Linked DNA regions of Mus musculus: all the other regions are reported to be linked to region 1. Evidence: microRNA targets listed by miRTarBase, many of them from high-throughput screens and not tested one by one. Region 1 holds a microRNA gene; each other region holds the end of a gene's coding sequence.

What was found. Region 1 holds the annotated microRNA mmu-miR-1a-3p (UGGAAUGUAAAGAAGUAUGUAU, at 5,470-5,491, shown strand). A microRNA usually pairs through its seed, bases 2 to 8, with sites in the 3' UTR of a target mRNA and lowers its output. Matches are read on the target gene's strand: a 7mer-m8 pairs with bases 2 to 8, a 7mer-A1 pairs with bases 2 to 7 and ends in A, and an 8mer does both.
Region 2: miRTarBase lists Hspd1 as a target of mmu-miR-1a-3p. Seed matches in the 3' UTR shown: 7mer-m8 at 3,856-3,862.
Region 3: miRTarBase lists Myocd as a target of mmu-miR-1a-3p. Seed matches in the 3' UTR shown: 7mer-m8 at 5,190-5,196 and 7mer-A1 at 4,283-4,289.

What each region holds. Positions count from the first base shown.
Region 1 is chr2:180,383,627-180,393,598 of GRCm38, forward strand. Mir1a-1 (microRNA 1a-1) reads left to right here and starts at 5,422; the gene lies at 5,422-5,498. It overlaps B230312C02Rik (RIKEN cDNA B230312C02 gene), which reads right to left and starts at 2,259. Exons shown (of 7, transcript NR_040745.1): 1 at 2,147-2,259. Mir1a-1hg (Mir1a-1 and Mir133a-2 host gene) reads left to right here and starts at 1,978. Exons shown (of 4, transcript NR_045331.1): 1 at 1,978-2,649; 2 at 3,908-4,078; 3 at 4,841-4,927.
Region 2 is chr1:55,071,941-55,081,912 of GRCm38, reverse strand. Hspd1 (heat shock protein 1 (chaperonin)) reads left to right here. Exons shown (of 12, transcript NM_010477.4): 7 at 85-253; 8 at 741-840; 9 at 1,566-1,811; 10 at 2,683-2,857; 11 at 3,206-3,384; 12 at 3,473-4,079. The coding sequence ends at 3,625. Coq10b (coenzyme Q10B) reads right to left here. Exons shown (of 5, transcript NM_001039710.1): 5 at 9,211-9,972. Among named protein-coding and RNA genes, the nearest start is that of Hspd1, 11 kb to the left of the region's middle.
Region 3 is chr11:65,172,304-65,182,275 of GRCm38, forward strand. It overlaps Myocd (myocardin), which reads right to left. Exons shown (of 13, transcript NM_146386.3): 12 at 8,582-8,639; 13 at 4,258-6,713. The coding sequence ends at 6,142. Among named protein-coding and RNA genes, the nearest start is that of Arhgap44, 14 kb to the left of the region's middle.

The sequences.
Region 1 (9,972 bases):
GTCATGGCATGTAGCAGTGCTTTAGATTTTATCACCAGATAATATTCCATCCTGTCAATGTGCCGTGCATGGTTCCCTGGTCACTAGTGGGTAGCATCTGGGTTGTGCTGTTTATACCACAGATGCCACTGCAGGGGCCTCTCAGACATGTGCCTAGGGGAGCAGTTGCCCAGGCTTAGTAAGATCTCACTGTTGAAGGAGCTGCTTGCATTTTGCAGTGGCATCATTGGCATGGACTGCTCAGGGTGGGAGTGAAGATAAACAGTTGGATGGGAGAAGTGTCTCCTCTGTCCTGTTTCCTGGGGGAAGAAATAAGAGGCACACACCACTCTTGAGAGCTTTGTGTTTGTGGGTACAAGGACAAGCTGGCTTTAAGGAATTCACTTGCTAAGCCCCAATGCCAGTGGGCTTGTGGGGAGAACTATTGGTTAGAACCCATGACAAGGGTGCTCTAACTCCTGCTCCTGGGTGGAGGACAGGACTGGCTTGTCCAGGCTTTGTGGCTGGCCCCTGCTGAGGTATAAAATGCATGAAACTCCTGTCCCTGAGAACTCACTGGGTGGAGCAGAGGATCTTGGTTGGCTTTGCTTCATTGTGGGTAACTAAAGAGTCCCCAGATATAGGTAAGTCTCTGTATGAACCCCACACACCAGTGGGAAAATGTCTCTGTATGTTTGTCTGAGCTGACCCATAGTGATTGCAAGACTCATCCAATCTCAAGTTGAACACCCCACGATTCTAGCTAAAACCTCCAGCTCCACCATGCCCTGTCCTTGCTATGTAGCTCCTGATGGCTTGATATTCACCGTAGCCCAGGCTTGCTTCATACTCCCCAACTCCACCACCTGAATGTTGGGGTTATGAGCTTGTGCTTCCATGCCTAACCACACATAATCACAATATCCAGGGGACCTAGGGTAGCATGGTAGCCCCAGCTGAGCTTCTCCTTGCTCCTGTGAGGACAGATTAGCCAGTACAGAGAGGACACTTCTCTGAGTACAGGAGGAAGGAGGTTTTCTAGTGGATTCTAAAACAGCAGCAAGTCTTTGGATGCCCATGCACTGCACAGGGACACTCATGCCTTCTGAGGAGCTTGAAGCTTCCACCCATAGTCCCAGAGTCGTCTCAATGGCCTGTACTTGACAGTAGCAGGGTGGTAGAGACTCGCTCAATGTCACTTTGCTCAAAGGGGATAGTTGGCCAATCCCAGGCTGCTGGACTCAGGAATCCCAGCCCAGTGGGGCCATGTTCCCAAGCCGTGTTTCTTATACAACCCAGGTGGGAACAAAATGGAGCCATCGCCAAGTGTACTTGTGGATATGGGGGTCTCCAAGCCACACACCCTTGATGCCAAGGTTCTGGAGGAGACAGGACAACTGAGTTGGCCTTCTCTGTTGCCCAAGGTGACCTGCAATTCTCATGACCTGGGGTTGGCTTAGGATCCCCAGGAAAACCAGTGGCTCTGTTGCCACCTGACCCAACCCCACTTCTGAGCAAAAAGGTATCACTCTGGAGACACTGAGGCCCTGGCCCACATGGGCCTTTAGGGGACTAAGGCCAGGGAGCCACCCATCTCCCTCCCTGGGCCCTGTTCCCTGGAGTAACTCCAGTCTCCCCAGGGCACTCAGGAATGAGTTGGTGTCGCCTCAGAGAGAGGCCAGTGCCCACTGGGTAGGAGGCACCTCTGTACTGGGCCTTGCTAAAAATAGCAGGGGGATTCGGACAGGGACAGCCGGTAGCAGGCTCGTAAGGGAGGGGCTGGGAGGGGGACGGGGCAACCCAGGACCGCTGTCAATGGTGCCGGGGCTCCCACCCTGTTCCCTGCTGCCTGGCCAGCCTCGGCCCAGCTGACATGCTATTTTTTCCCCTGCTTGACTAAATATGGTCAGGGCGCACAGCCCGAGGGGGGCCACTTGGCCGGGCCGCGTGTTTGGGATGTTTGGCGGGGTATATAAGAACTACCAAGGTGAGGTCGCTCCTGATCCAAGGGCCCCTTGCCCCACCAGCGTTGGGTCAGGCCATCCCGTCTCTGCCCTCCCCTCCCCCTGCATGCATGAATCTTGGTCTGTGGGGCTGCGTGCGTGTGTGAGCGTGCATACCCGCGGGGCCTTTCTCTTTTTCCCTTTTGTTCTGCTCTGACCTCTACCTGGTACCGACAGGGCTGAGGGTGCAGGAGCTTCCTGCAGCTTCGGCCGGGCAAGGTGTGCAGCTGGGCTCTGTCTCCTTAACTCTGCATCAGCGCTCTCTCTCTCTCTCTCTCTCTCTCTCTCTCTCTCTCTCTCTCTCTCTCTCTCTCTCTCTCTCTCTCTCTTACCCTCCCCTCCCCTTTCTCTCCCCCCCTTCCTCCTTCTCTCTCAAGATTTCCCTGCTGCTAAGTCTGCGCTGCTGCAGGAGGGCTGGGGGAAGGGCAGGGGTGCGGAGTCGGGGTGTCTTCTTTCTCTCTCTCTCTCTGCCCCCCCCTCCCCACCAAGTGCGGACGCAATGGGAGCTCCGGCCCGCCCCCACCCCTGCATTTGCGATTGGCTCCGGGAGGAGGTGGCTACCGCTGCTGCCGCTGCTGCAGCATCTCCCGGGGAGCCGCGACCCTGCGCCCGCCGCCACGGCTGCCGCGGTCACCAGCCCAGCCCGAGGGGCGCCCAGGGCTCCCTGGTGAGTCCCTCTCAGCTGGCTGCTTCAGCTGCCCACCAGCTAGGAAAGCCCCTGAAAACTTATCGGCAGTGGTGGGGGTGTGCCCTCCGGTGAGGTGGGTGCTGTGGGTGCTGGTGCCGCGTGGCTTCAAGGGGGCGCCTGGAGTTTCTCCCAGCATCATCTACATTTGGAAAACTGCAGAGCCAGCAGCCAGCAGGGCTGGGAGGGTTGGGAGGGCGCGTCCAACCGGGATGCAGAACTTTGACATACGGCTTTTTGCAAGAAAGCAGCGCCCCTGGATGCTTGGTGGAGGGCAGGGTGGATGGCGTCCGCTGTTCTAGGGGGTTGGCACGGGAGCTGAGGAAATAGATTAACCAGTTGAGGGCAACACCAGAGATTGTGGCTAAACTTACCTTGGAACTTGCCACAAAGCCTTTGAGTGCTTGCGGGTGGGGGATTTCTGAGGAGCGCTGACAAGGCCGTCCATGGGCTGGGACTCTGGATTTCTGAAGCTCTCCCAGCCCTGCCAGGATCAGAAGTGTGCTGTGTCAGGCATCCAGGGGCTGGAGCTGGGGCTGGGGCTAGGGCTGAACTAGTGTTCATAGTGTGTGTGTGTGAGGGGGGGGGGGGCTCAGGATAAGGCCCCACCCCAGATGCCAGAGGGGTCTACTTGGAGGTGACTGACACCACTTTCCTGTCAAGGTGGGAAACTTTTTGAGAAGTGACTCTCATTCATTCCTGAATGAGCAGCTCCTGAAGATGTGGGCTCAGACTGAATCAATCTCTGCTCTTCAGGTCCCCCCAACTTTCTGTTTGACATACAGACGCTATCATGAACACCTGGGAGTTGGGACAGAGGGCAGAGAGGCATTTGTTCTTAGAGTTCTCAGGGAGCCTAAGTGGGAGCTCAGTCACACCAGGGGTACCTCCAGAAGCTGGAAGCTGAGGCTGATGGACTGGCTGCCCTTTTTATCCTTGGCTATGTGGAAATGAAATTTTAACAGCAACCACATGGGAAATGGGCACAGTTTCTGTCCCTCGCTCATTCCTGCTGCACAAGCTTCTCTCAGTATCCTAATCCTCTTTCCACCCTGCCTAGCTACAGCTGCCACAACCAGGGGACCTCTACATGCTGCAGGCTCTGCAGAGACAGGGCCCTCCCAGGAATGGGAGAGTCTGGATGCTCTCTGGGGTGTTTCCACACAGGGACAGGGCTGGTCAGGTCATGCCAGAGACAGACATTGTCCTGCTGACACGGAAGAACTGAATGTTCTTTCAGGAGCTGGGACTGCCCTGCAGCCCCACACCAGGTCCAAGCCCAGCCAGACCCTCTGTGCCTGCACCACCTCTCCTGCAGTGGGTGTCTCCAGCTCTTTCTGTAGGTAGCCGCCTGCAGGGACACCTGTTCCAGGGTTCCAGCACTTTACCTGCAGGCTCACCTTGGGTGATGGTGAGTCCCCAGGCATGTGAGTCTCTTCCTCCTTTTCTCCCTCCTCCTCTTCCTCCCCCCCCCTCCAGACCACTGCTTTCTTCTTCCCCTTCTTTCTCTCAGTCTGAGGATAGCCTCCCTTTTGCTGCTGAGGCTCTGACCTGGAAGTCCTGCCCATCTTTCTGTTTTTCACATTCCTTTCTTCCTCACTCTGGGTGTAGAAGTTGGTAGGGCAGAAGGGAGCCTCCACTTCACTTGCGGCGAGATCTCAAAAATCAAGAGGAGAGACAAAATATAACTAAGTTTCCCAAGCATTTCCCTTGAACTTTTTTTTTTTCAAATTAGCCTATAGTTTTTTTTTTTTGTTGTTTTTTTTTTTTCAGAAGTTGGTACAGCAAACAGGCGGACAGCCCCTTTGTGTAGCTACAAACTACTATTGATCAGGGACTGATGGATCAGGAACTAGGTGAGGGACAGGGCCCTTCAGAAATAGCCTCCAGATTTCCATGGGAGCGGTTCCTTACGACCATCTTACATGGTTATGCTGCATAGCAGGGGATGGCGTTGGAGACTGTAGGTCACCAGGAGGACAGAGGGTACAGAAGCGAGAAGAGGGAAGGGGACCAAAGAAGGAGGTAGCTGGAATAGAAACTCCCTCATTGGCTTGGCATCAACTCTCAGGCCAGACTGAGCCCCAAAGAGCTGGCCAAGGAGTAGGTCACCTCTTAGTAGCCCCTAGACACTGTGAATTCAAGATCACTATCTTTCTTCTTCACTTCAAAGAAAGAGGCACTGAGACCTTCTCTCGGGGACTCTCATTTTGGGAAACAATTCATCAGGGTCCTGCCAGGGGAGCCATCGCCTGTCCAGGTAAGCCCTTTGATTCATTTCTGGAGACTCACAAAACTGCTTGTTTTCATCTGTCCTCAGGGAGCTGGGCTGTTCAAGTCCCCAGGAAAAGGATGTGACTGGTTCTTAGTCTGGGGTACGGGTCCCTGATGGCTCGTGGGTGGAGCTGCTCCTGAATTCTGTCTCCTTACCCCACCCTCACTGTCCTTGGTGGTGACAAGGTGGGCAGGAAGGAGAGAGAAGATGTTAGTAGAGTTGGATGCTATTTCTTAGAGTCTGGGATGTGACTTCCCTCTGTTGGGAAGAATGGGAAAGAACTCATTCCGTTGAGGGAGGTGTAAGCAACGGTGGGGATGAAAAGGGTTTTGAGACTTTTCAGCACGCCCTGTCTGCTTCCAGTCTTTACCAAGTGTGCATGTGTGAGAGAGACTGAGACACAGGCGACACCAAAAGGGGGCCAGCTTGTGGAGGGCCACTTCCTCGGAGTCCTGTTCTTGTGCACACTGAACCTACCTGCTTGGGACACATACTTCTTTATATGCCCATATGAACCTGCTAAGCTATGGAATGTAAAGAAGTATGTATTTCAGGCTAGGAACTCTCTCGCCAGACTGAGGGGTGGCCCATGCCCTGTGGGTGGCTGCTCGGGAAAGGCAATGGACCGATGGACCGGCAGGGCCTCGGGAGGCCGACTGTAAGGGTACCGGCTGTGTCCCTGTCCCTGTTGGCATTGTTCTGCCACTTTGCCTGTGTCAGCAGGTGGAAGTGCTCGTCAGACATTAAATATTCAGTGTGCTGACTGCGGCAGAGGGAGGAGGCCCTCTGGCAGGCCTGGGGTCCCGAGCGGGGCCAGCAGGGTTGGGGGTCTGGAAGCTTGGCTTGGGAATGGAGTTGTACTGATCCTTGCTGTGCTCTGAAGGAGGCCTCTCCAGCAGAAAGGGTGTGGGGACCGGGCAGGGACTGCTCAGACCACTGGGAGAGGCAGCAAGTTCTAAAAGGTGGTGCTTGGTGGTGGTGGTGGTGGTGGTGGTGGTGGTGGTGGTGGTGGGGCATGAAGGGAGGGGAGAGACTTTGGTAGTCACGTGGTAAAGGCTTTTGAGGGATGAGTCTCCTGCTGGCCTCTGGCTCACAGGGCCTGGTGGGGAGGGGAGGTGGAGAGCCCTGCGCAGACACTGCTGCCCACTGTGTGCTGATTGTATCTGCTCACTGACAATCTCAGTGTCAGCTCTACTCATGGCTATCCTGGCCACCCATGGTGATTCAGATAAAGGGAGCCCAGGGTCTGAAGCTGTCCCAGTCTGGATGGAGGAGTTGGCTCTGGGGACCTGGGTACAGCAGCTCATCCAGGGACCCCGGGGGGGGGGTGGGGGGAATAGGTTATTTCGTTCGGCCGACCCTGGGCCCATTCCTTCCCTGGCTGCCCCCATCAGAGCCTCAGCATCATTCCTTCACACTCTCTCACCAAATTCAACCTGAAGCCACCTTCTTCCTGGGAAGGCTAGCCAAGTTTCTGCTGAGCAGTCCACTAGCGACCTAGGACCCCTGTTCTGCCTGCTTTGCTGACAGCTGGTCTGGCCGGGAGAAGGGGCCGGGTTGACAACCTTTGGGTCCCAGGAAAGGAGGGCAGGGTCTTCCAAGCCCTTCCCACAGAGCTTGTCCTGCCCAGGTAGATGCAGGGTAAAGGGCTCTGGGTCCAGCAGAAAGCTGTCTATCTGTGACTAACATCTGCCTGGCTTCAGTTCTGGGTCTTAGAGTAGCGGCTGCCTGTGATCTAGCTGCAGTCAGCACCCCTCCCCCCCAAAGCATCTCCTCCACAGGCCTGGGGGCTCTTTGTCACATGCATGTGAGAGTGTAAGTGTGGGTATAGCTGTCAGTTGTCCCCGTCGGCTGTGTGTGGCAGGTACCCCCTTGTGTTCGGCACCATGACCTTTGGTAGGAACAGGATTGGGAGCAGGGCAGGACCCCTCTGTCAGCTTTAAATGTTGGGGCTTGAGCAGTCAGATGATCCAAGCAGCTAGGTTGAGGAACCTCAGACCAAATGCCATGGAGGAATCTGAGCCCACAGGTGGCTTCCATCCTGAGTTTTCTTGAGGTGACTCCATAGTCAAGGGTTTGTCCTGAATGTTTCAGTCTTCCTTCTGGAAGTCGAATTCTCTCCTGATCTCAGTCTCCAGGCACAGAGGGTGCGACAGGCACCGAGAAAGCAGCCTTGCCCTTGGTACTACCTCCCTCTTGGTCACTGGTCCCAGAGCTGTCAGTGCTCCATGACCCCGGAAGGTCATCTATGCCCTACTCAATTCCAGCTCCGGCCACAGGGAGGTAAACAGCCGGTGTGCGGCCACTGAAGCTGCCAGCGGCCACGGGCACGCCACTGTCTTCCGCTAGATATGTCTGTCATACATTAAAGCTTTATTGCAGGATGTGGTGTTTAAATAAAAGCCTTAGTGTTTTGGAATTAGGTTTGACGGAGCAGTAAAACTGGAGAGTTTGCAGGGAGCGAGCCTCAGCCTCCTTGGTTATAAATCACCTTGGTGCTCTCTGCCCGCTGAGTTAAAACGAGTACCCCTGGACACCCCTCCCCTCCTCTTCTCCCCTTCCGTACATGTCTACTCCCATCCCCAAGGTGTGTGAGGACCTGTTTCTGGTGATACCTGAGAAGGTGTGTGGTTGTGATGTCTGCTGTATGGGTTTTCACAGGACTCCAAACCATTATGCTATGTGGTTGGCCAAGTCAGTCTTCTATGGTGTCTTAGAATTTTCACATGAAGGAGAGGTGAGGCAGGCTGGGTTGGGACAGGGATCCCCACATAGGCTTTCCTAGTCTGGGTACCACCCAGACATGTAGCCAAAGGATTCTAAGAGGTAAAGGAGCCCAGATAAGGCCCCTGGGGAGCAAAGAGGACATGTCACCACCTGGAACAGGTTGGGGACTCAGAAGCCGTGAGAAGGCATGTGCTCCCTTTATTGAGTTCACTGGAATAGGGAGGCACTGATTGGTGCTCTTCGACTTCCAGATGTGCATGTACAGGAGTCACAGGTCCTGCAGTCTGGCGGGGGAGCAATAGGGTCAAGCATCATGGTAGCAAGCTTATTGTTCCATACTATGGTTTATACCTGATACTTAGGACTGGGCAGTCTGCAGATTGGATTAAGCCACATGAGTGTCTAAGTGAGAGATTATGTGTGCATGTGTAGTTATCAATTATCTTCTTCCTCCTTGTCCTCCTTGTCCTCCTCCTCCTCCTCTTCTCCTCCACCTCCTCCTCTTCTTTTCTTCTTCTTCTTTTTCTTCTTCTTCTTCTTTTATTCTTCTTCTTCTTTTTCTTCCTCTTCCTCTTCCTCCTCCTCTTCCTCCTCCTCTTCCTCCTCCTCTTCCTCCTCCTCTTCCTCCTCCTCCTCTTCCACTTCTTCTTCTTCTTCTTCTTCTTCTTCTTCTTCTTCTTCTTCTTCTTCTTCTTCTTCTTCTTCTTCTTCTTCTTCTTCTTCTTCTTCTTTGGCCAAGTGAATTGTGCCAGCCTCTTTAAAGAGGGGTTCTGACATTGACTCCAGCTAAATAAATAATGTCGTACCTCGAGGGCGATAAAGCATTTTATGGCATAGGTTCTTCAGACTGTGTGCTGGGCTCCTCAGCAATCTCATTTAGAACTGTTGACTTCATGTGAAGAGAAGCATCGAAGAATAAACTATTAGGTGTGGTTAGGTTGGCTGCAGGATGGCTATTTTGTCTGCCATAATCCAAGTCACAGTTAACATTGTTAGAGCTGCATCTTACCCCAACACCAAAATGTTGTAACTTTATAAAAGGAAGGAACCTGAGTGATATTCAGGGCCAGGGCAACCGGGCACAATGACGAAGATGCTATCGAGGAGGAGGGAGGGATGTGCGTACAATTGCGTTAATCGCTGCCACCTTAGCAGAATGGGTAGCCAGCCTTCTGTGAGGCTTTGTGCTGACTCAGCAGCCATGCACTTTGGATTGCAGGTCTCACTCTGCAGTACAGTGCTGTTCCCTGCTCCATGGCCAGGTCCAGGGCACCCTCCTTGAGGTTGGGCTGAGGTTGACTTGAGTGTGGTGTGGACCAATAGAGGTAGGGTGTAGGGTGAGGCTGGCTTTATAAAGAACCCCAGTTTTGTTCACTGTCCTTACCTGGCCACCAACCTCAGCCCCAGTGTCCTGGGTGAATCACACTTGGAAAGGGGGCAGGCATGGCTATTAGGCAGCTAGGGAAGCAAAGGGGCAGTACAGACAGTTCTCAGATGTTCTTCTTCCTGGGCTCAGAACCTGGCCAGCTACAGTTGGATTTGGAAGGTTCTTTAAGGAGGTTGCTTGGTGTCCGGGGAGGGAAGTGTTCTTTGCACTTCCAGTTCTCCCGGGCCGGCTGTGACCCTGGGAAGATTGGAGCTGCTGAGCGTGTGGGAGGGGGAGCAGCTACAGCAGCTGGAGTGGTGCAGGCTGCTGCAGAGCTGCTGCAGAATAGCCGCAGCTGCAGGCACATGCAGGGCTGCGTGTCTCAAGGGCAGAGATCTCCGGATCTGCAGGCCGGGTGGGAAGGGACGAAGGCGGTGGCACATGGGCCTCCCAGGCCTTCTCTGTCCACCTGCAGGGAGGGCACTGAAGAAGCTTTAGAGTCAAAGTGATGGGTTTGAGGTTGTGGGCTCTTCCCTGGCCAAGAGTGTCCCCTACAAAGTGATTTAAAGTCTAGGGTCTCTTTCCCTGAGGTCAAACCAGGGGCTGGGCTAAGAATAGTGCTTCCTCACTGGTGCTGGGCAGATGACGTGTGGGCAGGTGCATGTGCACAGGGAGGATAGATTCAGGATAAACCGGACATTGAACCAGAGTATTTTTAACTGCAAGAAGGGGAGAGGGCAGCTGTCCTGGAACCTGTCATGGGGGTTCTATGGGGACACTGTGAAGTTGAAGGACACCGGGGACAGATGTGCCACCTGGACCCTATCCTCCTGGCAGCCCCATGAGCCCTCAATCATGCCCAGATATGGCCACAGGGCCGTGTGTGTCTCCCCACTCTTGCCCATGTCATGGCTGGTATAAATAACCTGCATTCTCA
Region 2 (9,972 bases), not on the chromosome of region 1:
GAGTTACTGGTCTCATTGTGGAAGTAAATTGTTAATTTTCTCAGTACTGTTAGAATTTGGTTTTACTGCTCTCTGTATTTACAGGTCAAAAGTGTGAATTCCAAGATGCCTATGTCTTGTTGAGTGAAAAGAAAATTTCCAGTGTTCAGTCCATTGTCCCTGCTCTTGAAATTGCTAATGCTCATCGGAAGCCATTGGTCATAATCGCCGAAGACGTTGACGGAGAAGCTCTAAGCACGCTGGTTTTGAACAGGTAATAGATTGGGTTGTTATGTTTTTAGGTAGAAGGTGAATGCTGTTGCTTTTTAAAATTAATTCCCTGTTTTGCTTGTGTGTCTTAGAGGTGTAGTGTATGATATAGTGCTCTATGCATTATGAGTCCATCTTAAAGCGGTCTCAAATGTGCATAATCCCTGAGCCGCTGCTTCCCACAGCCTCCCAGAGAGAACTATACGTGTCTTTTAACACTGGTATGGTTAGTACTGACTCACAACTGTGTCTGCAATATAAGGGCAGCATTTGTTTAAGAAGGGGATCTGCTTGGAACAAGATTTGATGAGTAGAGGTCCCCATCTTGTCTTTTTTCAGACCAGGAGTTGTGGGAAAAGAGTAGGATTGGGATAGAGTTATATAGTACTAATAGTTGTATATAGTACTAGAACTTACCAGGAACTAAATTAGATGCTTTCTCCCAACTCCCCCTTCAGTTTACATCTTACACAGTTAAATGTTCTTTACAGGCTAAAAGTTGGTCTTCAGGTTGTGGCAGTCAAAGCTCCAGGATTTGGGGACAATAGGAAGAACCAGCTTAAAGATATGGCTATTGCTACTGGTGGTGCAGTAAGTAAATCTTGTCATACTGCTTTGCTTAGTGATGTCTATGCTTCCAGGCTGCAAATACAATGTATACTTCATAAATAGATAGGACTGTTGCTAAGTAATTTATTTATTTATTTATTTGGGTTTTTGGAGACAGGGTTTCTCTGTATAGCCCTGGCTGTCCTGGAACTCACTTTGTAGACCAGGCTGGCCAAGAACTCAGAAATCCACCTGCCTCTGCCTCCCGAGTGCTGGGATTAAAGGCGTGCGCCACCACGCCTGGCTTGCTATTTTTTTGCTTGGTACACAGGTATTGGATTAAGGTCATGTTTCTAACTTGCTGAGCCTGGCGTGAGAATGGACATAGTTAAACATTCTTCTCAAAACTTTAAGTGATTTTGTTCTGGTATACCAGTGGTCTTGACATCTCAAAGAAAAACAGCATTTCTTTTTCTGGATATTTTAAGCTTTATGTATATGGATGTTTTGTCTGCCTGTTTGTATGGTGTATGCATACCAGAAGGCGTCCATCCAGTCCCATAGGACTGCAGTTTATAGACAGTTGCAAGCTGCCATGTTGCAACTTGAACTCAGGACACCTGGAAGAGCAGAATAGCCTTCCAGTGCTCTTGACTGCTGAGACATCTTGCTAGCCCTGAAAAGCTGTTTCTTCTTACAAAATATCTGTGACATATAGTAATAAGCCTGGTATAATGGAAGCCACTAATAGCACACTGCTTTTATAGGTGTTTGGAGAAGAGGGGTTGAATCTAAATCTTGAAGATGTTCAAGCTCATGACTTAGGAAAAGTTGGGGAGGTCATTGTCACCAAAGATGATGCCATGCTTTTGAAAGGAAAAGGTGACAAAGCTCACATTGAAAAACGTATTCAAGAAATCACTGAGCAGCTAGACATCACAACTAGTGAATATGAAAAAGAAAAGCTGAACGAGCGACTTGCTAAACTTTCAGATGGAGTAGCTGTGTTGAAGGTAAGACTGACTTGCCGGTAAACATTTTAGGCTGAGTATCGTGATACTGGTTCTGTGGTATTTACCAATAGTAACTAAATGAATATCTCCTTTCCCAGAATTTTTAGTTTGTTTTGTTTTTTGAGTGTGCATATGACCAAACTTTCCATAGAGTACATGTAGCAATCGGGGGCAACTACCAGCAGTTGGTCATCTACCTTTCCACTGTGATTCCAGGAATACTCAGGCCATTGGCTTGCAGGGCAAGCAAGACCTTTGGCCCATTTGGGTTATATCCCAATGCCTTCTGAGCCATAAATAGGCATCTATCCCCTACTGGTATTATGCATGAGTATGAAACCGTTCTTGTGCTGTGTTGTGCAGTCTACCCCTACCCAATTTCCCAGTCTCGCTCTTTTCTCTTTCCTTTTTCTCTGTGTAACCCTGACTGTCCTGGAACTCATTCTGTTCACTCTATAGACAGGATTTTCAGTCCTAGAACTCAATTAGTAGACCAGGCTATCCTTGAACTGAAAATCCATCTGCCTTTGCCTCCCAAGTGCTGGGATTTAAGGCATGTGCACTGCTGTTTGGCTAGTATCCTTTTCTCACACAGCAGTACAGCTTGTGTGGGGAGGTTCAGGATTTTGTCAGTGGGACACATTATAATATATATGTTATTCTAGAGTTGCTTCTTTTGTTGTTGCTTTTGTTTTGAACTCTGCTGTAGCCCTAGCTGGCCTCAGTTGGTGTAACCCACCTGCTTTAGCCTCTCAACTGCAGGGGTCATGACTTACATGATGCTGTACCCAGCTTATGTCTGCATTCTAGGTGGCTTTAGGTGGTCATTGAATGGGAAAGGTCATGCTAACTGGAATTTCTTAATCTCTAGGTTGGAGGAACAAGTGATGTTGAAGTGAATGAGAAAAAAGACAGAGTTACTGATGCTCTCAATGCTACAAGAGCAGCTGTTGAAGAAGGCATTGTTCTAGGAGGGGGCTGCGCTCTGCTTCGGTGCATCCCAGCCTTGGATTCATTAAAGCCTGCTAATGAAGACCAGAAAATAGGTAAAGATCATCTTTCAAATGAGTTTGTGGCCTCATTCTTATTGAAAAGTATTGTTGATTAGCAATGTAACACATTTTACAGGGGGAATTATTTCACCTATGGTAGGATTGGATAAGTCTTCTCATTTACTAAACTCTTGTTTTCTTTTTAATTATTTTGTGTGTGTTGGGGGGTGCATTTTGCCTTCATGTCTTGTGTGCTATGCATTTACAGTATTCTCTGGGCCAGAAGGGAGCATTAGGTAGCCTGGACCTGGAGTTACATTGGTGCTAAGGATTAAACTAAGTCCTCTGGCTCCCCAGAAAGAGAAGACAAAGCAAATTTGTAAAAATGTGTTTGTTTTATAGGTATAGAAATTATTAAAAGAGCACTTAAAATTCCTGCAATGACGATTGCTAAGAATGCAGGTGTTGAAGGATCTTTGATAGTTGAGAAAATTCTGCAGAGTTCCTCAGAAGTTGGTTATGACGCCATGCTTGGAGATTTTGTGAACATGGTGGAAAAAGGGATCATTGATCCAACAAAGGTAAGTGATTCAGCATTTCATACACACTGGATGTCTTGCTCTCTGCATGGTTTTTATTCATAAATTATTTTACTAAAATTTTTTCTAGGTTGTGAGAACTGCCTTACTGGATGCTGCTGGGGTGGCCTCCTTGCTAACTACAGCCGAAGCTGTAGTGACAGAAATTCCTAAAGAAGAGAAGGACCCTGGAATGGGTGCAATGGGTGGCATGGGAGGGGGTATGGGAGGCGGCATGTTCTAACTCCTAGAGTAGTGCTTTGCCCTTATCAATGAACTGTGACAGGAAGCTCAAGGCAGGTTCCTCACCAATAACTTCAGAGAAGTCACCTGGAGAAAATGACTGAAGAGAAGGCTGGCTGACCACTGTAATCATCAGTTACTGGTTTCCTTTGACGATATATAATGGTTTACTGCTGTCATTGTCCATGCCTACAGATAATTTATTTTGTATTTTTGAATAAAGACATTTGTACATTCCTGATGCTGGGTGCAAGAGCCATATACCAGTGTCCTGCTTTCAACTTAAATCACTGAGGCATCTCTACTGTTCTGTGAGCATCAGGACTGTAGCGCTGTGTCACCACATGAGAGTTCAGAAGCAGCCTTTCTGTGGAGGGTGGGAATGATTGTGTACAAAGTAGAGAAGTATCCAATTATGTGACAACCTTTGTGTAATAAAATTTTGTTTAAAGTTTCTGGTTGTGTTACCCTTTCCATGGTCTTGATGGGAGAAATGAAAGCCAATCAGAGGAGCACAGTTGGGTATATAGAAACAGTCCACCTATAGTCTGTAGTCTCTTGCTTTTCCTTGGAGATAGGATTATTGCTTCGTGAGGTTTTACAGAAGGCACAACACTGGTTAGCTTGACTGATTTGGAGAGTATCATAAGTGATCATAAAGGAGTTTAGTCTTTCCTTACCATTTTGAAGTTTATGCCATAGTAAAAAGACTTAATGAGCAACTTAACATTTTAACCAGTCTTCAGTACTTGAATTTTTAAGTGAGTCTAGAATTACCAGAGATCTAGCCAAGCAAATAAGCACTATGAGGTTTAATCCCCCAACCCTCACTTTACCCTCAAAGAGTGAAGATTATTCATTTCTTGGTGTAAAAGAAACAAGAGGGCCAGATAGCAGGATGCAGAGCACCAGAAATAGTCTGAAGTCAGTTGGCCATTCTGTGAAAGCAAAAGCTGGTTGTAATTCCACAAAGGGTTTATTTGAGTAAAGGATGGAAATTTCCAGAATAGAACAAATAAGCCAGAAATGAAAAGGGGGAGCAAACACTAGTTCTTTAGTTAGTTTAGCTGTGGAAATGTACTTGCATCTACTTCAAAAATGAGTAACCAAGAGGAAAGGAACCTTGATGTACACTGCTTTGTCTGAAAAAATGCAATGGAGTGTTTCCACTGGCAGAGACCCCAGGGAAATGTGAGTGGGTCCGAAACCCTTCCAAAGTAACTGCCTGGCCTGATCTCATAGCTGCAGGTAGTCTGGTCTAAGTCAACCTGGAAGTAACAGGAAGTGCTTAAGGGCATTTTGATTGGTTCCCGCCCCCACTCCTTGCTATCCTGGTGACTGTAGACCATGCTGTTTCCCAAATACTGGGATTGAATATGTGTGCCAGTATTGCCTAGCCTTAATTTTTTTTTTAAGATTTATTTATTATATGTAAGTACACTGTAGCTGTCTTCAGACACTCCAGAAGAGGGAGTCAGATCTCATTACGGATGGTTGTGAGCCACCATGTGGTTGCCGGGATTTGAACTCTGGACCTTCGGAAGAGCAGTGCTCTTACCCACTAAGCCATCTCACCAGCCCAGCTTTAATTTTTATTATTAAACTTTTAAAAGTTTATTTTTAGCTGGATATGGTGAGGTATGCCTTCCATCCCAGCACTGAGGAGGCAGATCTCTTGAGTTTGAAGTCAGTGAATCCCAGGACAGCCAGAGCTACAGAGAAATCAGTCTTGAAACCTTGCCTTGAACTGAGGTTGGACTCTCCCATGATGATGGTTAATATTAACATGAAATAAAAAAAAGCCAGTGGTGACACATGCCTTTAATCCTAGTACCCAGGGGGTAGTAGAAGCCAGATCTCTGAGTTTTGAGACCAGCTTGGTCTACAAATTGAGTTTCAGGACAGTCAGGGTTACACAGGGAAATCTTGTCTAGGAGAGAAAAATGAAAAAAAAAAAAAACAACAGAAAACCAACTTGAAGGGCATTACAACCAACTAGGAGACAAACCTCTCAGCATGCATTGTGGTCTTTTCTTGATTAGGTTATCAAAGAGAACCACCCACCCTGACATTGTAGAACCATCCCTGCGCTTGGGTCCTAGGCATTATCAAAAGGGGAAAGCCAGTTGACCTTGTGTTTTATCACTCTCAACGTCCTGATTGGATACAACTGTCTGAAACGCCTCATGATTTCACCTTACACTTCATCTCAAACTGGGAGCCAACTGCTTTTATCTAAGTCAATGGGAAACTATCTGCAATGCACAGAAAGGTATAGAAATTGCCCTACAGAGGCAGTCTTTCTTTCACTAAGCACAAGGTGAAATAGTAACTGGTGGGTTGAATAAAAGAATGGCCCCAAGATGAGCAGTCTCAACTAACCTGGACCTCTGAGATCTCAGACACTGAGCCACCAACCAGGCGGCATTCACAAGCTGGTCCCAGGTCCCCAACACATATACAGCAGAGGACTGCCTAGTCTGGCCTCAGTGAGAGAAGATGGGCCTAACCTTTGAGAAACTGGAGGCCCCAGAGAGTGGGGAGGTGGACTTGCAACTTAGTTTTAATTTATGATGACATTTTTTTTTTCCTTTTTGAGTGTCTTATATGTAGCCCTCGCTGGTTAGATCTTCCTCTCAAGTGCTGATTAGAATTCCTTTAACTCTATTGGCAGAATGGCATGCCCTGCACCCTCTGCTGCATAAATCAGGTGTGTGGTTCAGACCTATAATCCCAGCACTGAGGCAAGGGCAGGATGACCAGGAGTTCAAGGTCATCCTAAAATACATAGTGAGTTCAGGGTTATATATAGATATAACCTGGAAAACATAAAAACTTGATTTAGATTCACTTTATATTTACTGAATGCTTATCACACATCAGCAGCCCTCACACATTAGGTAATGAAGGCATTTCCAAGGCACAGACTCCTAAAAAGAAAAGTGAATTAATTAAGAATTAAGAACAGTTCGCAGTGCAGGAAGACTGGGACAAGATGTGTGTACATGACACACTGGTCTTTCCAGGATTCCTCTGCCTTTTTTCTTTTTGGGACAATTTTACACATGGGAATCTTCTATACAAGTTGTTCTGGGTTGTTTGTTTGTTTGTTTTGATGACCCAAAGTTTAAGGTTGCTTGTATGAGCATGACTTGAGGAGTTTTTATTTTTATTTTTTACTGGATCATGAGTAATGTACCAGTGAGTACACAGTGAAAAAAATGACACCCTCTCCCTCCCTCCTCAGCAAGCATTAACTGCCAATAGTCTGTTAGGAATAGTCTGTTAGGAAGGGGTTGGCGCTCAGGAGCCCCTCCCCCATCCATCCGTGATGGAATGTGGATTTCCTCCACCTTGTACAGCTATGAGTTCCTGAGTGCAGAGGCCATGTCTTGTCCAGATGTTCCTCCAGCACTCTTATCTCCTAGTTCATAGTCTTTCTACTCTTTCACACAAAATGTCCCCTGAGCCCTTAGAGGGTAATGTAGAGGTCTCACTTAGCATAAAACACTTGAGCCACTCTCAGAAGTCTAACATATAAATCTCTGTATTAACTACCACTCATGGCACAAAGAAGATACTCTGACGAAAAGTGGCACAAATCCACAAGTAAACATAACTCCGTAGAAGGCAATTTGACAGCAGCCTATTTAGCAAATTAGAGTAGGATAGAGTATCAGGATTATGCTCCTACCCTGCGCTCCCAGGGCAAGGAGATGGCTCAAAGGATAAAGTGCTGGCTGTACATGCATGAGGACCAGTATTTTTTGGATCTCTGGCATCCATGTAAAAAGTCAGACAGAGATGGCAACATCTGGAATCCCAGCACTTGAGAGGCAGAGACAGATATCCCTGGGCATCCCATATAGCTCCACTAGCCAGAATCAGTGGGCTCCGGGTTCAGCAAGAGACTGCTACAATTTTATCGAAAGGACCCAGATGTAGCTGTCTCTTGTGAGACTATGCCGGGGCCTAGCAAACACAGAAGTGGATGCTCACAGTCAGCTAATGGATGGATCACAGGGCTCCCAATGGAGGAGCTAGAGAAAGAACCCAAGGAGCTAAAGGGATCTGCAACCCTATAGGTGGAACAACATTATGAACTAACCAGTACCCCGGAGCTCTTGACTCTAGCTGCATATGTATCAAAAGATGGCCTAGTCGGCCATCATTGGAAAGAGAGGCCCATTGGACACGCAAACTTTATATGCCCCAGTACAGGGGAACGCCAGGGCCAAAAAGGGGGAGTGGGTGTGTAGGGGAGTGGGGGTGGGTGGGTATGGAGGACTTTTGGTATAGCATTGGAAATGTAAATGAGCTAAATACCTAATAAAAAATGGAAAAAAAAAAAGAGACTGCTACAATAGCATGAAGAGCCATCAAGGAAGACACCCAGGGTCAACAACAGACCACCATATGCACACATGGTAGCTCAAATTTAGTGTTAGCATTTGGGAAGCTGACCAAGAGCCTCAGTAATGAGAGCATCTCCCGTGCCACATCGTGAGTTCCAGGCCAGCCTGGGTTAATGACATCCCATTAACACTAGATCAAATACCAAAGCTCAAATCAAATGCAAGGGACACAATTATACACAGGTCACTTTGCTCTGGCCGTGTGTGCCTTACCTACAAGTGGGAGATCCTGTTTCACTTGTTAAAAGCACAACTCAAGTCCATGTGAGCAGACCAGTGTGAGCTCCTCAAAACCACACAGCCAGTGCCTGGGAGGGAGTGACTGAGCAGAGACTAGAGCAAATTCCCACAAGCACCAATTATAGCTGAAAGCACTGTGGCTGGAAGTTTAGTATGCAGAGGTGATTTGGTTGCAGAGTGAAAGGAAGGGAGAGAATACTGAGTAAAGAATGTGTTCAGTTCAGATTTCTCTGTCTCTATGGAAGGTTTTCCCCTTGTTCTGGCAGTGCTGAGGATCAAATTGGGGATGAATATTGCATCCAGGAAAGTATTTGTAAGACATGATATTCTATAGTATTGCACTTTTATTGTTTCGGTTGCTGAAGCTGTCAATGCCACACATACCTAGTCACCTGTCACCTAGTCACCTGGGATGGGGTAGTATTAGTCAGAAACTTGCTGTCATCTGACTGACCTGGGGTGTGTCTGCGAGACATCCTGACAAGCTACTGTGGCCTATGCCATGCCTGAGCAGGTGGGTCTGCAGTGTAAAAGAAACTAACTGAACACCAGACAGGGAACAAGCCAGAAGGCCCATTCTCCTAGTCTCTGCTTTAGCTCCTGCCCTGGCTTCCCTCTGTGATAAGTGGTGAACTGAAAGCTGAAATAAACATACTCCTCACAAGTGCTTTTGCTCATTAGTAACAGGGAAGCACACTAGACCATCCGTCCAAATAGACATGAAAACTATACAGAAAAGATTAAAATAACAGCCAGTGGTGGTGATAGCAGCTATGCTTTCATCCCAGCAGAGAGGCAGAGGCAGGAGGATCTCTGTGAGTTAGAGGCCAGCCTGGTCTACAGAGTGAGTTCCAGGGCAGCCAGGGATATTACACAGAAAGACCTTATCATGAAAACCAAATAAAAAACAAAAAGATTTAAATAACCAAGGTCACTATACAAAAATAAACAATTTAACTTTATTAAGTCATGACTTCAGCCTTTCTACTGATTTGTGGTTTTTAAAAAAAAATCAGTTCAGAATATTATTGAAAGTGAATATGCACAATAAATAGAAAATGCCTTGTGTGGTGCTGGAGACAAATTAACTACTTACTTATCTGTTGCCTACAGTGGCAGATAAAATTTTGACACACAATCAGCACAAAGCACCTGGAAGGAAGTTTCAAATGTCTAGAAAAGTAGCTCAGAGCTCTGGACCACTCACCAAATAAAACAAAAAACAAAAAACAAAAGACCAGAACAAAAACCCCACTCAGTACATCTGGGAAACAACTTCCCAACAACACTGAATCATCTACTGCTACCCATAAGAACAATTAAAATACCCAAAGTGCTAAGACTTCATTAGCAATACTTTAAATCACAGTTTTAATGGTAAATATATGATTATTCAAATACCCTAAGCCATATGGCATGCCGAATAACAATAAGTTACAAATACTCTGAACCTAATAACTTAAACATGATATGGTTAATATAACACACATTGTATCTCAGCTAACCTTTTCATGTAAGGTGAGAATTAAAAGACTTGTTCATCTGTACACTCAAACGAGGAATGTGGTATCCTAGCAACAGTGATGACATCCGTTATTACAAAGGTGGTCGGAGCCTGCAAATGTACATGATACTTAGAGTCACACTTGATTGAAGAAATAATTCTATGTACAAGTGGGTCCATGTTCAATGT
Region 3 (9,972 bases), not on the chromosome of region 1:
GAGTTGGCCCACCCCAACATCTACCCGATCTGTGAACTGCTGGAGCACATGAAGGGGCTGGACCTGCAGAACCCCAGCTTCAGTATCTCCATGACACAGGGCAACAACAGGGTATCTAAGAGGATATCCCAGTGAGGATTAAGTATTGATTGTGTAGCAGAAGCCAGAGGCCTTGAACCAGACCAACGACTCATTGCAATGAATATTTGTGAGTAAAGATGTTTAGTCAATAGACTCTGTTGTATGACACACTGCAACTTCCAGTGAGATGGGTTTTTTGTTTGTTTGTTTGTTTGTTTGTTTTGTTTGGGGGAGGGGAGCTGCAGGGGCAGGGTGGATACAGAGGGTCAGGGAGATGAGTGACACTGAGGGGCATGAATGGGAAATTCACAAAGAGTCAATACAAAGTCTGTAAGGATTCCACCCTCCTCTCTTAATCCATGAGGTTCAAATGACCCTACTTTTTAGCTTGGGGGATCTAAGACTTGAGACTGAACCTATGCACGCTTCTCCAGACCTCTGAGAAGCTCAGTCACTGACAGCCAACAGTGAGATTTCTGCTGAGACCCTTAGGAGTGAATTCACTTGTGTCGGAATTGTTACATTTTACTGATGTTAACCATGACCTTGTAATTATGCATGAGTTGTACAACAGCCCCCAATGTACGCGAAGAACAATGTGAGAGAAGGCAGAGCCACCCCACAGAGAAAAAGCAGTTCTCATCTAAACCAGGTTTGGGGACCTCTGTCTGGTTCAAAGGTCATCCATTAGCCCCACAGCTCCTCCGTGGGATCACACATTCTCCAATGGGGGTGGCGGGGGGACAGATGGAAATATCCTTGAGTGTGAGAAGCAGACATAAAAATCTATACCTTAGGGATGCTGTGTACGTCTAACAGGCCACCTTGATCCCCAGTTTACTCCGTGCATTCTTCAGTTGGAACTGTTGCCAGACTGATGGATACAGAAGCTGGAAAAGGAAGCACACCTGTATGTGCTTGTGTGTATTTCAATAGGGATGTCAGTGCAGTTTGTGTGTCTGTATCACAAAGTGCTCATTGTGTGCACAGGCAGCGGCTTTGGAGGTGGGTAAGTCAAAGTCTGACACTGGGCTCTGCTAGTTTATAAGTTATGTCACCCTTGACAATTTACTCAGCCTCTCTCAGCCTCAGTTTCTTCATCTGCAAGATGGGGATCACAGCGGTAACCCCTTCTCCAGCTGCCGAAAGGAGAACAGGAAGTGACATGTATAAAGAACATCACACCCAGGCATATTATCTGGTTAAGGAGAAAACTGTTTACATCTCGTTAAAATAAACATTTTATTTAAAAATATATGCATTTTTTTAAAAAAAGACACATGCCAACTTTGGTATTTTAGCCATTGCTCCTTTGCTCTCCCAGTGAGCCACATTTCTCTCAGACTATACTGAGCAAAGGAGACCAATATGAAAACACCACCACGCAGAGGCTGAGAGAACCATGCTTGTTTCCCTGTTCTTCCCAGAACACTGCTTCGTGTTCCAGTGAGAGTTGCTCTCTCAGAAGCCCTTTGCCCTTGGACCTTTTGACAAGGTCATTGGAACAGAGCCCTTGGAGCAGTGTGGGGTTTGCTCCTTTGGAAAACATTTAAAAGAGTGTTTCTGGGTCCCCTTGCTGTGCACCTTTGCACGTGAGGCCATCTAAACCATCCAGGGGAAGTGTGGCCTCCTGATGCCCATCATGGGACCCAGAGCCCTGCAGGGGGTTACTTGTGGGGGGACCATTGATTCCTTATGATCAGAAGGGAGCTCGTTCGTGCTCATCGAATCCAGTGAATCCTAGAACAATATCCCTGCCAGGCAGCAACAAAGGTCTTCTCAAATTCCTTCCTGTCTTGAACCCATTTCCTGACAGAGTCTCCTCTCCTAGCGAGGGCCTCTGGACCCACATGACCGTGTTCTCAGCACAATGGGACTGTCTCTTCCATGTCTGTTGACGTCTCTGTCTAGGGAAGTCTCAGAAGCATCTGCCTCTGAACCTACACTACTGTCCTGTGACCCTGGAAGAAGAGACAAGCTTGTGTGCTAGTAGCTTTTCATGAAAAGAAAAAAAAAAAAAAAAGCAAAACCAAAAACTCCAGTTTCTGGAAAAATCAAGAGCCCTTTATCACTGCTAAGACAATTTGAGTGCAAAGAGCTGAGAGAGTCTCAGAGGGTCTCAGCATTCTTGCTTAGAGGAGCTGCAATCCCTCAGATGTTCAACACCCATGCTGAATCAACCCCTGAAGGTTTTGTGTGCTCTGTGGCGCTCACCAAATGGCCACGCCCTGGGTAGTACGGGTCACGAGGGAGTTTTCGGCCTTATTAGCTCTAGGAAAGCTGATTGAACATAAAATAGATAGCTTTGGAGAAGAATTGTTTTAAAAGCTTGGGGTAGATTTTAATTGTTCTTGTCCCCAGCTAATGTTTGTGAAAGGCACAGGCTGCAGGTCTATAGGACTCTTCCACTAGAAGATGTGTTGAGGCTCCTGATTGCAGAGGGAATCACTCCATTGCTCAGAATGGGTGCTGTCTTCCACTCTTGTCTTTTACTTTTTGTACTATGGCGTCATAGCTGAACCAAGAGTTTCATGGGTCAAGAAGTTGGGTCATGATTTTCTTTTCTCCTTCCTTTGCTTCCCTGCCTCCTTCCTTTCTCCTTCTCTCTCTCCTTCATTCCCTCTCTCTTCCTTCCTTGCTTCTTTCCTTCCTCTGTCCCCTCCTTCTCCTCCTCTCCCATCTGCTTACTCCCTCCTCTTCCCTCCCTCCTCTTCCTCTGTCTCCTTTCTTCTTCACTTTTCCCCCTCAACCCCATTGTCTTGATAACATTTAGGACACAGGCATAATTACTGAACCCTAGTTTACTGGAAGAACTTGCATGGGGAGAATCTGAGCTCCTTTAGATCTAGAAGGACCTGTTGTCCTGTAGCTACAGTAGGAATGGCTGCCAAAACTGAGCTTACCATGGGGATATTACAGACCTCCTAACTATGTGGTCACTTGAGGCTCTAGAAACATTGCTAAACCCAAGGGTGACCATCTCTGCACACCTCTTAGCTTGTCACATTGCCACCACAAGAGGACTTGACTGATTAATAAAAGGAACTTAAAAGCCACAATAGGAGACAGCTGAAGGCACGTATTTGATCGGTCTTCATCAATCTTCTCACAGCTACTCCAATCTGCTACCTGTGCTGTGAAGACAGGGTATATGCACATGGCCTGGGGAGATTGCAGGAGCAAGCTGAGGCCAAGTATCCAGGGGCCCATTCTAGCTGTACTGGCTTGCACTAGCAAACCAGAGCCATCTTCCCTTTCGTCTAGTGTGAAGTGTGTGTGTCAGTTTGGATACTATTTTAAAAAGTTCCCCACAGTCTAACTAAAAAACAGAGCTGTCTAACCAATCTCTCAGACAGGGATACCCAAAGGGAAAATTATCAGCACTCAGAGAAGGTCTCAGAGGCAAGACACTGTGTGGATTTGTTTTCCAAAGAAGCAAGAAGGGGATAACATACATGGTTCAGCCAAAGCCTAAAGAAAAATGTACAGAGCAGGAAGCTTCATCCAGACTCAAATGCAACATCAGCGTCGGAGGTCAAACCAGTGTTTGGAATGTGGCAATAAGGTTCCTCCCCCAGCTTCATCTTCATGCTAAGCTTTATCTCTGGATCTGTGGTTCTGATTGCATACAAACACGAGGGAAAGTGTATCACGCAGAGCCTTTCAAGCACAACGCAGATCAAGGAATGTCAGAACAAAGTTCATACTCCCTTTAGACTCTTCTGTAAGAGAAGGCCCTAGCCTTGGCAGCCACAGGATGGTGAAGCCACTCTATCCCATCACATCCAAACTCACTGCCGGGCTTTGTCCTCTCAAATCCATACTCATTGTCAGGAGGAGCTTGTTCCCCTGCAGCACGTGGCTGTGAGCATTGAGTTGGCGTCCTAAGTCATATACAGAGAGGCAACATGGAGTCTGGTTGATCAATCAGCAACTCGTAGTGACAAAAGGCTCCGCATCATTCACAGCGGACTGAGGGTCGGAGGCCCTCTGAATGCCACCTTTCAGATATGTGCACACACACATAGTTGCATACATATGTGTATGTGTGTATAGACATACTCCATAGGCACATGTATAGAACTACATGTGTGTACACATCTGTGTTTCCTTCCCTACCAGAAGATCTGGTGGCTTCCAGAGTAGCAGTCACCAAAAACACTCAGTGTTCAAACATTTTTTTTTTTTTACAAGTTGACAATGGAATGATTTCTAAATCTTTGGTTTATCAAAAAAAAAAAAAAAGTCTTCTCAAAAATTCACAACATTGTTGATTATTTTCTCTATAAGTGCACAGTGAACTTTTTTTTTTTTTTACAAAAGAATAAAACAGTGCCTTGGTGACTTAAATTAAAACAAAACAAAACAACAGCAACAGCTACTTTCTACAGCATGCAACATTGTAATACTTGAATTGGCGCCACAGCAAGCCTCTGAGAGCCTTGGCCAAACTGTATGTTGTCTTCCTCGGTCCCCAACGCCTTCACCAAACGCAGGGCAACAAGAACTCCTCAAGACTGTGGTCCTTCACACTCCTGTTGTTTACAGTGTGCAATTGTGTTCTCGTTTGGAAAACTACTGAAATATTCTCTACTATACATGGTGCCCTGATTTATCTTCACTCTGCAATGATTTCCAATTTCTCCAGAGCAATACAAACCAAAGATTGTCCATAAATCAAACAAGAATTGAAACAAAAACAAAAACAAACAAAAAAACTTTGTGACCAATGGGCCACATCCCCAGTTTCTTCCTAAAGAAATTCTTGTAAATTCTGTTTTCAGCCAATGCGCATGTGAAGAAAGAGTTTGGCAAGAGAGTTTGGACTTTTAATATTCTAAAAAAAAAAATGGCTTTAATAGGAGTATGGTAGCTTGTTAGAACTGAAACCTCTCCTTTGAGAGAAAGAGAGAGAGAGAGAGAGAGAGAGAGAATTAAAAGCAAAAGAGTCATAAAGGATTGATATCTTGAAAGAAAAGTACTGAGAGAAAGATGAACTGAGGTGAATTCCCTCTGCTCACAATAAGAAAAGAAAAATAAAAAAGAAGAAAAAGAAGCTGGCCCTGTGTGTTACTCCTGTAATAGCAATTCATGGTTATTTCTTTCTCGGAATGTTAAATGACATCGTTCTCTAATTCTAACTTGTCCCAGTACGGCTCCCTGGGCCTCCAGTTGCCTTTCTGATCATCTAGCTCTAGTCTTTGGAACTAGAGGTAGTAGTATTTGAGCGCCTCAGGAGTCTCCATCCATGGCATGAAGTTTCTGTGATTCAAGTTCTCACCTGCTATGCATTGCTGATGCACATAGAGGTGGACTACTGGCTAAAAAGCACCGTGTTCTGGGTGGATTCTCTGGACAAAGCTAGTTAGTTGTCACCAGTGATCACCAGTCCAGTGGGACCATTTGGGAGTCAAGGGACATTGAGTCACTTTTGCTTTCCTGGGAATTGATTGGTCTGTCCCTCTGACCATTCTGATTATTCTGTCTTAAGGACTCGATTGGGTGAGACAGGCCCTGCTCTTCTGACTGATGATGATGGACACACGTGTGCTGCCTCAAGCACAGGATGGCTTCCCCACACCCGCGGCAGAGGCTCTGTTCTCCTTCCACAGAAAGTTTAGTAAATTCATAACAAAAGCTAATGGGGTCAGTCTATGTCCCAGTATTGCCTGAGACAAACTGTGGGCAAAAAGAAAACCAAATAACAACACAAAAAAAAAAAAAACCAAAAAACAAACAAACAAAAAAAACCCCAAAAAAACTGGTATGAGATAAGGCAGCGAAAAAACATTTTTGGCATTCTTATTCTGACAAAGCACATTTTTGAATGCATCACTGAAGTTATTAACAGTTACTGAATGCTGGTAGATATTACATTTAGACATATTTTAATAGCTGACTTCTGTTTGTTCTGGTTAGTTGTCACAAAAACCTCCGTTGCTGTTTTTTTTTTTCCCTCCCCATTTTCCCCACTTCATCTTTTGGAACACACATTTCCGGTATCGTGCTTTCCTCCATTGAATTCCCACTGAGCTCTCGTAGCTCTTGTACCTCGGGTGTTTACCACTGCTGTAAGTGGAGATCCATAGGGGAATTCAGATTAAGATCTGTAACATCCAGAAAATCGATGTTGAAAATGCTGGGCCCACTGGAGGTAAGGTTGCTGAAGCCTGGCGTGGAACTAGGTGGAGTGAGGTCCAGCCATTCCATTGTTTCCCAAGGAGATTCCGTGAAGCTCAGCTGCAGACCACTGCTGTCCACAGAAGGAGGTGACAACTGTGCATGCATCGGGGAGAGGGGCCCAGGCAAGAGCTCGTGAGCACTGAAGAGATCTTCCGCAGCCTTCCCTGGGAAGCCATCCATGATGCTGTCAAAAGGAGGCTCCTCGCTTCCGATTTTGAGGAGGGTAACATCGCTCACCTTTCCGATGGGGCTGTGAGAATTCAATAAGACTTCCAGGTGTTCGTCACTGTCGTTGGCGTAGTGATCGAAGGCCATCTGGCCTCCCGAAGATGCCTGCTCAAAGGAAGCCGAGGGCTTCGGGGGGATGGCAGTTGGGCTGCAGGAGGACCCAGGGATCTTTGGAATTTTCTGAAGACATGAATGATCTTCCCTGGCATCGGCTGGCATTTCTGTTGGCAAAGCACAGCATGAATTGTGAAGTCACCTGAAACTGACCCTACATGATGGGTCTTTGGAATAAATGAGTTGCTCGAAGGAAAGCAGAGAAGATGACCATATGTCCCTGCTCAGCACTTAGCCCTGGGCTTGCCCCTACTTGCTCTTTCTCTCCATTTCCTTTCCTAAGGTTTCCCAAAATACCCCATGCCTTGGGACCTCTACTTTGTTATTTTCAAACTCTTCTCAGCTGGCTTCTTGGCTCCATTCCCTTCCACTAGCTGTCATTGGAGGACCTTGTATCTCTGGTATACTCTCTGTTGGGCAGTAAATGAAGGATGAGTGTCATCTCACAACTATTTTACTATTGATACACCCTTCTCATCACTCCTTGGTGTTTTTTTAGGACAGCCTGTCCCCCTACTTTAGGCCTGCTGATCACACTTCCGCTGCTTCTGGAAACAGTCCCCCAGCTCACAGCCACTCTGCCAGGCCACTGTTTCTTACTTCTTTAAGACCATAGCATCCTTAAAAATCACACATTACTCATGCTGGCTTCTCAGTTCCTTGTCCTTCCCATCTCCTCCAGTGATGCCAGCATCCCTGCTCTGTGGTATACTGTGAGCCTTGTCTTTGCATAGCACATCCTTTTAAGAGCTCTGTCATAAGCAGAATGCCCCATTCTCTGTCCTTCCCCTTTCCCCTCTCTAGCTCATGTATGGAGTATTTCCAGGGCAATTATTTCTAATGTATTCTTAGACATCTCACCCACTGGATGTTGATTGATCATTGCATCTCAGTATCTCCCGAATCACTTCTTTCTTGCTCTGGATCATATTCTCTGATCTGCTGTTGAAGTTATTTCTACCGTTTGCCCTTTCCTTCTAGATTAACAACACTCTCCACCCTGATAAGCTCCCATCTACTTTATCTTAGCCTGCCCCAATTGCATTTAATTGGTCTAATTGCATTTAATTCTACCTTACAAACTTGCATTTCTCTAGAAAACTCAACTCATTCATGACTAACTCATGGCTCTTCTTTCCTAAACTCCCCCACAGTCCCTTCTGTGTCCTCACTATTCGGCATCCTTGCCACATTCTCAGCAGAAAAGGGGGAGGAGCATCAGGTATGAACAGTCATCTTCCATGACAAAATTTAAATACACACCTGCACCTGAACCCCTCCCTTTTACCCTCTTTTATGTTAAGGTAAGAAACTCCCGTTCTCTCGGTCACTGTCTGTCTTGATGAACACACTACACTCCAGAGAAATGAGGAGTTATCCGGTGGAGAACTGAGCTCCACATGATGCCTGGCATTCCATCTATGTTAAACTTCAAATGCTGTTGATTAAGGGTTCAGCCCCGGGTTCCCATTTGACCTTCACACATGCTCCCTCGGATTCACATACGAGGCACACATTCCGTAATGTTTCTTAAATGAATAAATGACTGGGTTTAAGAACACACTGGTCGCTTTTATTTCTAAGTTGAGGAACATTTAAGCGTGAATGGAGTACCCAGCGGGAGAGATGGCTGATTGAGTTTGAGTAACGGGCAAAATCCTTTCACTATCTTCTTGTTTCCTTTTCTTTTTGTGGAATTAGAACAGCAGAAAAATGATGTAGCAACAGAGCACACTTTCGGGGAGGCAGGAATGGGTTGAAAGGAAACATGCAGAGCATCCTCAGGATAAAGGTGGCAAGGAAGCATCCACTGTGTTTCTCTCCTCTGCTAACAAAGCACACCTGAAGCCCAGAGGACCTGGTGCTACTAGCAGACCACCTGGTGTACCTGACTCAGTGTGCTCCTGACCTAGGTCATAGAGGCCATGTTCTAGAGCATGCATGGGTGTGGACAATAGGCAAGGCAATCGCTCACCTCCACTTTCAATGAGGACATCCAGGAGTTCGTCCATCTGCTGACTCCGAGTCATTTGCTATTGCAAATTAGCCAAAAAGAGAGCAGAGAGGTTAGAAGGCAATGCTTACTTCTGGGTGGAGACACTAGAAACAGCACTGCTTGCTTAAAGATTCAAAACACTTGCTTAAGGCCCTAGAAACAGAATTATGCTTGCCTAAGGATTCAACACAGCAGAGTAAAATTGAGCATAACATAAAACCCTGTAAACTTACTCTTTTAAAGTATATGTTCACCTGTTAACACAATCGTCAACACTATGTATCCACAGAGCTCTTTTAATATGAGAAACTAAAACTCTACACCCATTAAACAGTACCCTTCAACACCCTTCTGCCAACACCAGCGGTCACTATTCTCGTTCATGCCTCTATGAATTTGACTCTTCTTGGTCTTGGAGCAAATGGTATTCAAGTGTGTGAATCTACCACATTTGGATTTTCATTTACCTGTTGGACACTTGGGATGTTTCTACTTCTGGCTGAAGTGGATAATATTGCTATGAGATTAGTTAGACTGGCTAAAGGACTTTGTCTGTGTTGACTCAATCTGTGTTTGATTAAATTGCACACAGTCAATCCACTAAGCTAGATAACCCAACCCATCAAATGAGAGTGAGAAGAACAAAACAGTGATTCTCGGCTCATGATTCAGGTCAGGTGTCTGGAAGTCTCCATCCCAGGACCAGGCATCTTGATACACACCATAGAACCCTTTCTCACTTTGGAAGCAACCCGTGTCTACCTCTGTTTGGCTGCTATGGATGTGGCCCAGGAAGTGGGCTTCAATATTCTTGGTTCCTCTTGCAAAATCTGTGAGTCTGCCCTCACCTCTACTCATCTGAACTGTCAAGCATAGTCAACATCTCCTGAGCTTTTCAGAAGTGAGAAAGCCTACATGGAATGGCATCTTTTTATACCAAAGGAGACCTTATTGCCTTGGTTTTGATTTCAGGAGACCAGATATGAGGCAGCACCTGACACAGATGCTCTTTTCTGAGTTGGGTACATAGCTAAGGTTGTTTGATATCATATGTAAGCTCAAACTGCTTGAACTACTCATCTTTCAATATCTTTAGGGGCTTATGTCCAAGAGCCCTCACCCTTGAGTTCCAAAATCTTCAGGTGCTTGTCTACTCTCTAAAATGATTTAGTAATCACCTAAAACCTACATATGTCTCCGTGCCTTGCACATTGCCTCTGGAGCTTGCTACCTAGTACAATGTAAATACTATGGAAGTAGCTACTGTCCTGTGTGGCTTGGGGCTCAGGGACAAGGAGAAGGGGGGTGTGCTCAATACAGATGGAACAGTCACATGCTAACATAGCATGTGAGACTTGACTCCTGCTGCT